3 linked regions of the Macaca mulatta genome follow. The protein of the gene in region 3 interacts with the protein of the main gene of each other region in a biochemical or structural test. Links are inferred from orthologs where the notes say so. Each region holds a gene or a part of one and is shown on either strand. Other genes may lie near its edges.

Region 1 (4,237 bases), on a different chromosome or scaffold from region 3:
GGGTCCTGGGTGGACCCTTGAGCAGAGCTACTTGGGGAGATGTGGTTTGGTGACCCCTATGACTTCTGGCTCCCCTATTCTGGGTAATTTTCCACTGCAGCCACTTCTGGGAGAGGAACAAAGGGAGCTGGATGTCCAGGCTGAGCCCCAGGGACTTGGGCTCTGTGGCTTCTCTCCCCCACACACCCCTTCTAAAATGCATCATGAATTTTACTCCTGCTTAGGGCGTGGTCAGACAGGCTATATCTGGAGTCTGAGCAAGGCCGTCCGCAGGATGGCTTGACTCATGAAGGTCTGGGGTCAGGAAGGCCTGAGGCCCAGGCCCCTGATGAGTTTCCTGGGCTGGCCTCCACCAAGGGTGCTTCTCTCTGCTTGCATACCTCTGGGGACAGGGAGCTCACTGCCTTATCACATTCAGATACCTGAATGTTAATTCCGGTTTATTTCAACCCACCTCATTGGGACCCCATCCCTCCTTCCTGCCCCAACCTGGCTCTGTCCCTAGGCCACAGAACCAGGTTTGGTTTCCAGCCCTCTTCTCAACAGGGCTGCCTGCTCTGACCTAGTCCCAGTTTGTCATGATCCAGGGCAGCCTGGCTCTGATCTAAAGCACAGCCACCTCTTCCTTGTGGCCCCTATCCTGACTGCTCCCGGGAACAAGTACCAAATCTGGGGTCAGACAGTCCTGGGGCCAGTCTTCCTTGGGTACTGGCTTCCTCCTTCAGGAGCTGCACTGGGCCCACTGGTATCCTATCCCTACAGCTGGATCTGGGAGGAAACCAAATGAAGACGATAGGAAATTCCAGCCTCTTTCTTTGGCCACTGCTGTCCTCAAGAGGCCAATCTTCTGGTTTTTTTGCAGAGAGGGGGCAGGCTGATCTCACAGGTCATGCTCCCCTCCACATTGTCACTAGCCTCCCAGCCAACCCGTGAGGAAGCATCATTAGGCCAATGTTACAAATGAGGAAAATTGAGGCAGAGTGATGTAACTGGCCCAGCAGTTACATCAGGCCTGCTCACAACACAGCAGGCCTGAGACCCCTATAACTTGGATCCTGCCCTGTCCTGTGGTAAAGAGTCAAATCTAGGAAGTGAGGAAATGAGGTTTGGGATGGGCCCAGGCCTGGGGCTTCCACTCAGCTCTCTTGCTTGGTGCTGGAGAAACAGAGGACCAGAGAGGGGGCTTGGCTTGCCCGCGTTCCTGCAGCAGCCGGCCAGAAGCCGCTGCCATTGTGCGCGAGGCTGGATAAAATGAATGACTGGAGGGCGCTCTGGAGGAGGGGCCGGCTGAGGGGAGATTTGTGGCGCAGACCGGGGATCAGGGGTCCCCCGCTTCTTTCAAGGTGGGGCGGGGCCGTCTATCTGGGAGGGCGGGGCTTTCCCGAAAGGCCCCGCCTCCGCCTCGACCGCCCAGCGGAGCCGCAGCAGGGGGAACCCAGTTTCCGTGGAACTTTTCGCGGGCGCCGGGCCGCCTCCGAGGCCAGGGCAGGACACAAACGCGCGGAGCGGCGGCGGCAACTGCGAGCCGGGGCCGCGGCGGCGCTCCCTGGGAAGGACCGTACGAGGCGGCGGGCCCGGCGGGCCTCCCGGAGGAGGCGGCTGCGCCATGGACGAGCCGCCCTTCAGCGAGGCGGCTTTGGAGCAGGCGCTGGGCGGGCCGTGCGATCTGGACGCGGCGCTGCTGACCGACATCGAAGGTGCGTCAGGGCGGGCAGGGCTCGAAGCCGCGCCGGGTGACGCGAGTGGGGGGCGCGCAGGTGCCTCCCTGTCCTTTGTCTCCCCCGCGGGCGCCAGCTCCGTGCTGTGCTCGCGCTGGACTTCCCGGCGTCTCTGAGCTGCGTGCCGTGCGCCTCGGTGTCCCGGGCCTAGCCGAGCCTCCCTGGTTCCCGCCCTAGCGTCTCGGGCCGCGCGCTCGGAGGTGAGGGCTCTTGGGCCGGGCCGGGGTCCCTTGGCGACTCCGGGCCGGGACACGTGCGCCCCTACGCGTCCCAGGCCGGGTGCCGCCCGACCGGTGACTCTTCAGCCCTGTGGTGGCCACGGCTGGAGCTGGGGACCCGGGCGTCGCCGAAGCTCCGCCCCAGCCCCAGCCGTGACGTAATTGCGAGGTTACTCACGGTCATTCCCTCCGGCCCGAGAGTTCAGCTCAGCGTCGGAGCTCTTACGCATGCGCACTGGCGCTGCCTCGCGCCCTTCCCCCGCCTCTGGTGGGGTTCACCAGGTCTGCGACGGGAATCGCCTCCGCACCCATTCACTGACATCCACTGAATGCCAGGCCCCGTCTTAGGCACAGACAGACCTGGGCACCCCCTCTTTCGGGAACACAAAAATCCCCCAGGAAACCAAACGGGTATTTAGTTGCACCTTGGGTGGAGCGAGGCTGGCGGGGAGGGCAGGGCAGGGATGTGGCTACTTTGGGCAGAGCAGTGAAGGACTTCTAGGCTGAGACCTGAGGGTCACCCCCAGGACCAGCAGGGAAAGATGTTTTCCAGGCCACGGCAAGGGAAGGGCAAAGGCCTCGAGGCAGGGCGTAAGTGTGAGGAGTTAGAGGCTTGCAAGGGAGTGAGGTCAGGGAGGAGGAGGACGCGAACCGACTTGGTCGGCCAGGGAAAGGGCGGAGCAGGACAGTGGCACCGGCTTCCATCTTTGGAGAGCCACTCTGGCTGTGATGAGAAGGGGCCAACGGTGGCACCAAGTGCCAATTGGGAGGCCCGTTGCTTCCATTTTGTAGACAGAGCAAAAGGAAGCCCCTAGCAAACTGCCTCCATGGTTTCTGTGCAGGAGTTTTAACAACACTGGCTAAGTTGCACTTGGTTGATGAGGAAACTGAGGCCAAAGTCGCAGGAACAAGATGCCTAGACTCACAGCCTGAATGGACATGTCCATGGAACCCGTGGCCACCCTGGGGTTGGCAAAATAGATACATCTATGCCACCCCCACTCCTGCCCTACTGCAGCCTTGCAGATCACCCAGCTGGTTGCCTGCCCCAGGAGCTTCCCAGCCCTTCCCACTGGGGCTGGGCTAGGGGAGGACCCCAGAGGAGAGGCCCTGATTGTGAGGCTTTTCCAAAACAGCCTCCCCTATCCCTGGCATGAGGGGTTGTCCTTCACTGCCCTCTGGAGTGATGAACCCTGAAATCCCAAGCCCTAGGGAGATCTGGGCTTAACTACCAGTTCCACATCCCTGGGCCCAGTGAGTGTAGTCCAAGAGGCAACGTGACCAAGCCAGGAGGACGTGGGCTTTGGGGTCAGAGGTTGAACCTGGACACTCCTCATTTCCTTTATCATCCTGCTCAAGCCCTCTCACCCTCTGAACCTTAGTTTCCACCTCCAGAAAAATGAGGATGCAAACCCTCCCTTCATGGGCAAGTTGGACAACAGAATCGGGTCTGGGCCACAGGTCTGAAACAGACCTTTCTTACTGACTCATGAATAAAAACACTGCCTCTCCAGACCCAAAGGCCAGGCATGGGCAGCCATGTGGCCCAAGGTCTAGTCTATGAGAGAGTGGGGGCAGCCCCTTCTCACTAGGCAAGCCTCAGCTTTACCCACTTCAGTAGAGGATTTTTCAGTTTTTATTCAAACTTCCTGTTTTTCTTCCCAATTACACATCTTTTTTTCAGTGTAGAAAAATTAGAAAGCACAAGTGAGCAAAAAGAAGAAAATAAAATCTTTAGACCGGGGTGGTGGCTCATGCCTATAATCCCAGCACTTTGGGAAGTCGAGGCAAGAGGATGACTTGTGTGCGGGAGTTTGAGACCAGTCTGGGCAACATGACAAAATCCTGTCTCTACAAAAATAAAAAATTAGCTGGGTGTGGGTGACACGTGCCTATAGTCTCAGCTACTCTGGAGGCTGAAGTGGGAGGATTGCTTGAGCCTGGATTTAGAGGCTGCAGTGAGCTATAACCGTGCCATTGCACTCAGCCTGGGTGACAGAGTGAGATTCTGTCTCAAAAAAAAAAAAAACTTTAAACCTACCACCCAGAGATAAGCTCTGCTAATTATGTGAAAGAGCTTTTCTTCTCTTTTTTTTTCTCTCTCTCTCTCTGTCTGTGTGTGTGTGTGTGTTTGGGGAATGGCTGCACACTCTTCATAGACTTTTTTTTTTTTTTTGGAGACAGGGTCTCACTCTTTTGCCCAGGCTGGAGTGCAGTGGCATGATCTCAGCTCACTGCAACCTCTGCCTCCCAGGTCCAAGAGATTCTCCAGCTCCCAGGTAGCCGGGATTACAGTCGTGT
Region 2 (3,988 bases), on a different chromosome or scaffold from region 3:
GGCTCTTAAACAGCTCTGCCCCTAAGGGGTGCAAGTGGGATGAGGGGAGGTTAAATCTCCTTTCACTCTCTGGGATCAAGGACCCTAAACCCCCTCTTTTGAATGCTGATCTGATGGTCTTTCAAGTAGAGACCAACAGAAACCATGCAAGTGACCCTGGAGTGGGGTGCCAGGCCTGGCTTGAGAGCATTTCCCAAGAAGAAAAGGAGACAAAGGGGCCCCAAAGGCCCAGTCTCCCCAACTCATCCCCAGCATGTTGTGGAATGAGAAGGTAAGAATTTGTAGATTTCCTTGGAGCAAACAGTTGGTCTGACAGCAGTGACCCTCTGATGATTCTTTTCCAGTGAGTGGCTAAGCTTCAGCCAGGGCCAGGCTGTCCTGCTTGCCTGCTTGCCTAGACAGCCCAGCTCTTTAAAGCAATCTTTGGGCCTCCAGGAAGGCACAGGGGAAGAGGAGAGACAGTAGCCTGGGATAGGATGGAACATGGAGTATCTGGGTGGTGGGGCTGAAGGGTAGAGGGGAACTTCTGCCTTAGGCCCAGAACCCTGAGGAGACTGAAAGAGGTGCTGATGTCAGCCCTCCTGGGAAGGAGTCAGGGGAGGAGGGGCTAGGGGCCCTAGTTTCAAGTCAGATAAAAGCCAAGCTGAAATGCTTATGAGAAGAAAAAGTGGGGCTTTGATAAATCAACTGGAAAGGCAGTTAAACTATGGAGCAGGTAAAGGGGTCTATAACCACCAATACTGATGGTGTGAGAGCTGGGCTCCTTCTGGCCCCTGATCATCACTGGGTTGTGTGCCTCTGACCATGAGTCTTGGGTCTTCTGGACTTTGGGGCTAGTTCCCACGTTCATCTGCTTTGAAACAGTGCAGAAAAGGATGTCTGGGTCAGACTTGGCAGGGACTCCATGGAACCTCAGCCTCTTGGGGTTCCTGTAGCAGCTGGCTGGGTGAACTGCACTCCCTAAGTTTTTATTTGGCTCCAGGGAGTCCTAGCCCCTTCCCCAAGAAGAGAGCCACTTATCTGGATTGACACCTCCAAACTTGGCCAGTTCTTTAGGGGTTCCTAGGAGCCCTAGGAAGAGCACCTGAGGAAACCAGCTGCACTCCCATGAAGCCTCTGCCCCTTTCTAGCTCTCCTGTTCCACTCCCCCACCCAAGTTCACTGGGATCAGGAGGCTCATCTCCCTCGGCCTCAGCCCCCTCCCTCCACCTGCCTCTCTAGCTCTGTGTCCCTGGCTGGGTCCTTTTCTCCTCCCGCCAGGCCTCTAGAGCCCACCTCTAATTGTCCTGATGGGAATAATCGGGGAGCGGGGTTGGCTGGAAAGGAAGGGGGAGGGGAGAATTGCTTAGCGCTATGGCCCCCTCCCCCATACCTTATCCGAGCTGGGGCAGTGGGACACACCCAGGGCTGAGATCCTTAGCTGGGAAGGGGGGAGAAGGGGGGAGACCCTAATAGCTATTCTCTGCAAACACCGGCCTTCCTCCGCAAGACAAACGGCCTCGTCTCTAGCCCGTGCCGGCGCTGCTGATAAATATTTAAAGCTAAAAGGCCGAGAGGAAGGGTGGGGGCGGGCTGGGGGCTCGCAGCGCCGTGGTGTCGGCGAAGAGAGATCCGCCGGGAAGCAGAGCAAGCCTGAGAGCACCGAGCAAATATGGGGGCGGGGACGGCCTGCTGGGTCGCGGCCCAGTGGGTGCAGCCTTCCAGGCCGACCTCCGGCTGGAGAGCACTCTGGACGCGGAAAGGGGCGCCCTGCCGGGAAGGGGGCGCCTTCCGGGTAATGTGCCCCGGCCCCTGGGGCTCGGGACAGCTCGGTGCGCGGCGTTACCTGAGCTTCGCATCCAGGGGTAGATCCGGAAGTTACTCTCGGCCGCCAAGTCCGAGTCCCTCTGCTCCTTGGCGCCCGCCGCCTTGGCGGAGTCGCCGGGACACACCCCGGAGAGGTTCTGCTCAAAGGGCGCGCAGTGCATGTTGAAGGAACTCGGCTCGAGCCCGTAGCCGGCCGCGTAGACGCCGGCCGCGCTCTGGCCCGCCATGCCCCCCCCGCCGGGGTACAAGCCCTGCATCGAGGCGGCGAAGGAAGCGCCCGAACCCGCTCCATAGCCCGGGCGCTGGGGGTTGGAAGCAAACGCACAAGAAGTTTGTTCGGGGAAGGCTCCGGTAGCGAAAACCGAACTTGAGGCTGGATATTTAGAAAATAAAGCATTCGCATAATACAATGAACTCATAATTTGGCCGGATGATTTGTAGGCAGGGACGTTTTAGTGTCGGTTTTACGAGATTCCTTGATATATTACAGAATTAGAGTCCAGATTTACACCAAAAAGGACCCCCTTTTTCCTCTCCGGACCACGTGACCCCCGCCCACGTGACGTCCCCTCCGCCAATGGCCGGGCCGCCTCCCCACGGCTCCCGGTAATACGGAAAAATTGTGTGGCGTTGGATTTATAAAATATGATCAATAATGAATGGGATAGCCGAACCCTGTGGATTGGGGCTAGGGGCTCAAGGGCCGCTGCCGACTCCCGCGGGCTGGAGGCAGCTTGCAGGCGAGATTTGGGGAGGAAGAGATTGAGTGGAAGGGAAAATAACCTCGGGGCGATCCGTATTGTCACCCCCCCCACCCATCCTCTTCAGCCCGTTACCCAGCGAGAGACAAATGCAGGGATTGAATGCATGCAACTGGGTGGGTGGGTGCTTGGGGCAGGTCTGTTCTTTATTAATCCGGGCCAATTGTGCACGGCAAGGCCTTTTGGGGAAGTTGGTCCGGTTCTCCCAAGACGAGGAATGAGGCGAGCCTGGCTCACGGCTCTGTCTCTCTTGGTGCCCCAGATATGCGGGCGGAGATGGAGCAAGGCTTCCTAGGTGCTCCTAGGGCACAGGATCCAGTCCACCGGCCTTGAACGCTGCGGTTTCTGGTGGCAAAAAATAAATAAATAAATAAAAAGGTTTGAAAGTAAAAGAAAGAAAGGGGTTGGGTGGGTGGGGAGAGAAAGGAAGGGTGGAGGGTAGTCCGGGCGCGCTGCTCTCCCGGTTCCCGGAGGCGGATGCCTCAGTGGAGCGTGACTACCAGAGAAGCAGAGGCAGCCAAGGAAGGAAGGCAGCCAGCCATGGCCTCAGAACAGAGAGAAGGTGGCCAAGTCCCAGAGAGGAAGAGGCAGGGAAGAGCGGTCTCCCTTCTTCTGCTCCCCCAACAACAAGAGTCCAAGAGGAAAAAAAAGTATGCTCAGCAGGCCTGCACTCCTCCTTTATGCCTGCCACCCCCCCACCTCCCCCCCCACCCCCGAAACACACACACTCGGGAGGACACACAGCAAAACAAAGAGGGAGGTGGCGGGGGACACAGCCACCAGCCCAGCCGCATGTCTCCAGCGTGGCCTGGGCGCCCTGGTCTCCCGGGCAGGGCAGCCTCGGAACGCGAGAGGAGGGGGTTTCTCTTGGCTCCCCTCCCTCGTTTTTCTCTCCTCCAATCAGGCGCAGCCGCCTCCTTCACCCCCAGCGCCCCTGGGCCGAAGGACTCGCACCACCTGCCTCCAGCCCCCGCCCCCTCCTCTCTGCGGCCTAGCCTCAGCAGGCGCAGGAGCCCTGTGACAGGCTCCCCACAGGTTCTGCAAGGCACCCGGGAGCAAATGAGGAGCTCTGGCCGGGCCAGTCTCGGTTTCTCGCTTGTAAACTTTATTGTAACTCTTCCGCCCTTTTCAGGCGCAGACAACAGAACAAAGTATAGAGGAACAACAAAATATATAATTAGCCCTCCCTCCCCCCCATAAAGCAATTCACGGATACAGGATACATTCTCTTCACAGTAAACCTAAGAACACTTGTAACAATTGCCCACAGCGCGCATGCTAACTAAAGTAACCTCTTTTGAGAAACACTTAAGACAAAATTGTCAAACCAAAGGGGGTGGGTGGAGAGGAAAAGAGAGAAGCCAGAGAGAAAGCCAGCGAGCTGGGGGGTGCAGCGAGGAGAGAGGATTGGGAGGGGAAAT
Region 3 (4,212 bases):
TCCCCTGGGAGCCTCAGAGACACATCCCCTCACTAAAATAAGATTGAGTCTCTCAAGAATGTTATTCTCGGGTCTGTCCCACCTAACTAAATGCCTTCAGTCCTTTGAATGTATTTAATGTAAAAACTCAAGCCATTTATTTGTTTAATATACATCCCTAAGATCTCTGTCCATCTCGTTACTCAATTTCTTAGACTAGTAGTTACACCAGACAAGGTGTCCCTTGTTTTTTTTAGAGACAGCGTCTCACTCAGTCACCCAGACTGGAGTGCAGCAGTGCGATCTCGGCTCACTACAACCTCTGCCTCCCAAGTTCAAGCGATTCTCATGCCTCAGCCTCCCAAGTAGCTGGAATTACAGGTGCATGTCACCATGCCTGGCTATTTTTTTGTATTTTTAGTACAGATGGGGTTTTACCATGTTGGCCAGGCTGCTCTCGAACTCCTGACTTCAAGTTGATCCACCAGCCTCCCCCTCCCAAAGTGCTGGGATTACAGGCATGAGCCATGGCATCCAGCCCCTTGTTTAATGTGCTTGACAATGATCCCTTCCTTGGTCCTCCACACTAACAGACCCTTTCACAATAGTGTGATGGTGATGAATGTGTAACTCAGGACCCAACTTAAGTATGATGTCGACTTTCTACTTTGGATTAAATCAGAGTCATTTAAAGCTGACTTTTGGTCCCACAAAAGAGCCCCTGTGCCTTACAAGGATCAAAACTGGAAAGGAAGAGGGAAAAGCTGGTTAAGTGTGGAAAATCCTTTCTGATCAACTTGTTATTAAGCATCTGATCATCCAATAATGGAAACTACTATGGAAAAAGCTATCCTTCGGGCTCCATCTTGGAAACAGCTGGATGTAAACAGTAGGATAAGCCTTTTTGTTAAGTCTTGTGTTACTGATTGTCCCCCTTTTTAAGACAAAATCTACAACAAATTCATTCAACAATAGCAAAGCTACAAAGCCATCCAGGTTACCAGTTTCAGAAGACAAGCTTCAAAGCTGAACTCGCCTCGTATGACCTACGTCTCACAGAACTGAAGACTACTCAAACACAGCAAGATTAATGAAGCAACTGAGATCTGTTTTGCAGTACAACGGCATTTAAACTATTGTTTCCACATTTCTCACTTCAGTAAGTTCATTTCATAAGATTAATGTCAAACTCAACTTTTATCAGCTAAAAAGAAAAACATTATTAGTGATTTTTACATACCATGAGCATCATTTACTCCTCCCCACTGTTTAAGAAATTTTAACTAGATAAGAATCTCCTTATGATTGATTTTTAAAAATCGTTTTTCACTTCCACATTAATATTAAATGTCTCTTATCATAACTTGATTCCAGGAATTGTATTCAAACTTAAGCCACAAAATTCAAGTTTTGTTTCAACAGCAATAGCAGTTTTTTGAATATGCTAGTGGTCGGTCACAGAACTATTTCCACAAGTTGAACAGCTGTGTCTAGCGCAAATCTGAAGGCAGCAATGTAATTCAATTTGGACTCATTCATTAGAAACTGATTTTCAGATGCTGCCACTGCAAGACTACTGGAGAAATGCAAGCTGCGCTGGAGACGGAATTGTTCGCAGCGGCACAGAAGTTTCTGCTGCAAAGGAGAGAGCTCTAAAAGAGGAAATACAACTAGTTCATGTTACCATGAACCAGCGCAGTAGGACCCAGAATTACTGAATGAATAGAAAACTAAATACTTCTCTTAAGCAGCAATGATTACTTAAGAAAGTTTCCAGGGAAGCTGTTAAATGAGAGGAAACAAACAAAAGATAATTTATTCAGTATCCTGCTACATTTTTTTGAAAAATTGGAATTCCTACATGCCTTAACATAATTTTTTGTACATCTACACTGTGAAAGCAACACAAACTCAAATGGAGATGGCAGCCCAAATGAACTTAAATCTGCTGTTTAACTTTCTTTTGAAGTTACACATGGAAATGAAACACACCACAGCAACTTTAATGACATCTTGCTAACGAAGTTTGGATTTTGAAAAATGGAATGACTAGTTCACTAAAAACAACAACAACAACAACAAAAAAAAAACAAAGAGTTTTGAAAATAAGCACTAAGCATCTTTCCAAGGAACTCACTCATTCCAAGAAACTTCGGTTCTAACTCGCAAGCTGGCGGCTGCTGTGAGTATCCTCTGACTGCAGCCTGATCAATGTGTCGCCAATCCAGAAAATACACTGCGCTACCTTTGGCCGCGATCTTGCTTTCTCTAAGCATCAAAGGTACCCTCCGCTGTCATTCCTCTGGACGGCCACGCGTGTGGACACGGCCGCGGATGGATGCGTAGGACATTACCAAACAAACCCACACACTGCACTTTACTTCTTCCCTCCTGGAGTGCCACTCGGGTCCCCGCGAGGAGGGCTGATCGGGTGCGGGGAGGCCGAGTGCACCGGGCGTGTGCTGCCCAACTCGGGCCCAGTGACAGTCCTGCGACGAACTTCCACCCTCCGGCGCGGGGCGAAGGGAACGGGCTGCGGGGCCTGCTCCGGGCTCCCGGCTCGGTAGGTATCCGCGACCACCACCCCCGGACACTCTCTTTCAGGTGGGGGTGACAGCGCGCCCCGGGCCCCCGCCGCCCCGGACCCCTCCTCACCTGTGCTGTCATTCGCCGAGAAGCCGGGCGAGCTGAGTTTGGCTCGTTTGGGGTTGGGCGGTCCGTCCAGCAAGTTCTCGGCCATTTTCACCTGCTCGCGAAAACAGCCCCGGGAGCGGACGGCCGGGCCGGCGAAGGCCCGGACGGGGGTCGGGGGCCCTGCCGGCTGCGAGGGAGAGCAGCGAGCGCGGCCGCGAGCGGGCGGGCGGGCGCCGAAGGAGAGGGAGGGCGCAGGCCGGGTGGGGGAGGCGGCGGCCAAATCTCAGCCACAGCAACAGCGCCCCGCAGCGCTCACCGCCCGCCCCCGGCCGCCGCCGCCGCCGCCGCCGCCGGCCGCGGCCCCCTCATCCCCTGCCCGCCTCCCGAGCGCGACACTCCGCGGCGGGGGCGCCCCGGCGGCCCGGCCGCCCCCCCGGGCCCGGCTGGCAGCGACGGCGCCCGGCCGGGCGGCTCAGGCAGTCCCCGGGAACATGGTGCCGCCGCCGCCGCCGCCTCGCTCCCCCCCCGCGCCCCACTTAATGAATTCGCTCGCGGCCCGACGACGAGGGGGCTCCGGGCTCCGCTCCCCGCCCGCGGCCCGCCGCCGCCGTGAGGAAAAACAATGCGCCGAGCGGGGTCGCCGCCGCCGCCGCGGCCCCCCCACCCCCCGTTCCGCCGCCGCCGCCGCCGCCGCCGCTGCCGCCGCCGCCGCCGCCGGGCTCCGGGAGGCCGAGCCGAGAGGCGAGCGGGGCCGCCGGGGCGGGCGCCGAGGGCCGGGCGGAGCGGGCCGGCCGGGCGGAGCGGGGTGCGCGGGCGGTTGTGGGGCCCGGGACCGGCGGGGCCGAGTAGATCGCGCTCGAAGCCCCGGTCGGGTCCGCGACAAGATGGCGGCTGTTGATTCCTCAATTAAAAAAAAAAGAAAGTTTTTTTTCTTCTCTTTCCAGAGCCTGAACGGGGAGGGGGTGGGGGCGGGGCACGCCGGTGCGTCACCCCCCCCGCGGCGTCACCACGCACGGCCCCCGCCCCGCCCCCTCCACCTGCGCCGGCCGTGGCGGAAAGAGCCGAGCGTGCTCGGGCCGAAGGGCCGAAGGCCCGAAGGCGCGGCCGCGAAGCGCAGGGCGGCGGGCTGCCGGGCGCGGGCCAGGCCTGCGGGGCGCCCGGGCTCCGGGCTGAGCCGCGGCTTTTGTTCTGATGGCGACGAGGCGGCGAGGGCCGGGGCTCCGGGCCCCAGCGGGCTCCGGGAGCAGCGGCCTGGCCACGGGCTGGGCTCTCCGGCGCGGATTCGACGCCAGCCCGGGCCCGCCCGTCCGGCTGGGGCGGCGCTGCGTGTTCCCAGCTCCTCGCGTCCCTGCCCGATACCCTCCTCGGTGGCGTCGGGCGGGGACGATCGGGGCGACCCCAGCCCAAGCCGCACCACTAGCCTTCGCCGCCGGCCAGGGAAGTGGAATGGCCCTGCAGGTTACAAACCGCCTTCAGGTCTGCCGACGAGGTGGGCGGATGGGGAAACTGAGGCAGGAGGGGGGAGAACAACTTCTCCAAAGTCGTCGAGGCAGCAAGTGGCAGGGCCGGGATTCGGGTCCCGCCCCACCTGGTGACACT

Evidence for each region.
Region 1: the proteins of CREBBP (region 3) and SREBF1 form a complex in vitro, tested with the Homo sapiens proteins (5 studies listed by BioGRID, with this or other methods). The link is inferred for Macaca mulatta from reciprocal best matches to the Homo sapiens genes CREBBP and SREBF1.
Region 2: the proteins of CREBBP (region 3) and HOXB7 form a complex in vitro, tested with the Homo sapiens proteins (2 studies listed by BioGRID). The link is inferred for Macaca mulatta from reciprocal best matches to the Homo sapiens genes CREBBP and HOXB7.

The regions. Positions count from the first base shown.
Region 1 is NC_133421.1:19,395,348-19,399,584, reverse strand, and holds the start of SREBF1 (sterol regulatory element-binding protein 1), read left to right. Parts: upstream 1-1,437; 5' UTR 1,438-1,606; coding exon 1,607-1,697; intron 1,698-4,237.
Region 2 is NC_133421.1:61,398,642-61,402,629, reverse strand, and holds the start of HOXB7 (homeobox protein Hox-B7), read right to left. Parts: upstream 2,801-3,988; 5' UTR 2,226-2,800; coding exon 1,826-2,225; intron 1-1,825. Other genes in the region: uncharacterized protein LOC114673140, read right to left, coding at 2,801-2,912. UniProt on the Homo sapiens protein: Sequence-specific transcription factor which is part of a developmental regulatory system that provides cells with specific positional identities on the anterior-posterior axis.
Region 3 is NC_133425.1:5,100,799-5,105,010, forward strand, and holds the start of CREBBP (CREB-binding protein), read right to left. Parts: upstream 2,801-4,212; 5' UTR 2,720-2,800; coding exon 2,635-2,719; intron 1-2,634. UniProt on the Homo sapiens protein: Acetylates histones, giving a specific tag for transcriptional activation. Mediates acetylation of histone H3 at 'Lys-18' and 'Lys-27' (H3K18ac and H3K27ac, respectively).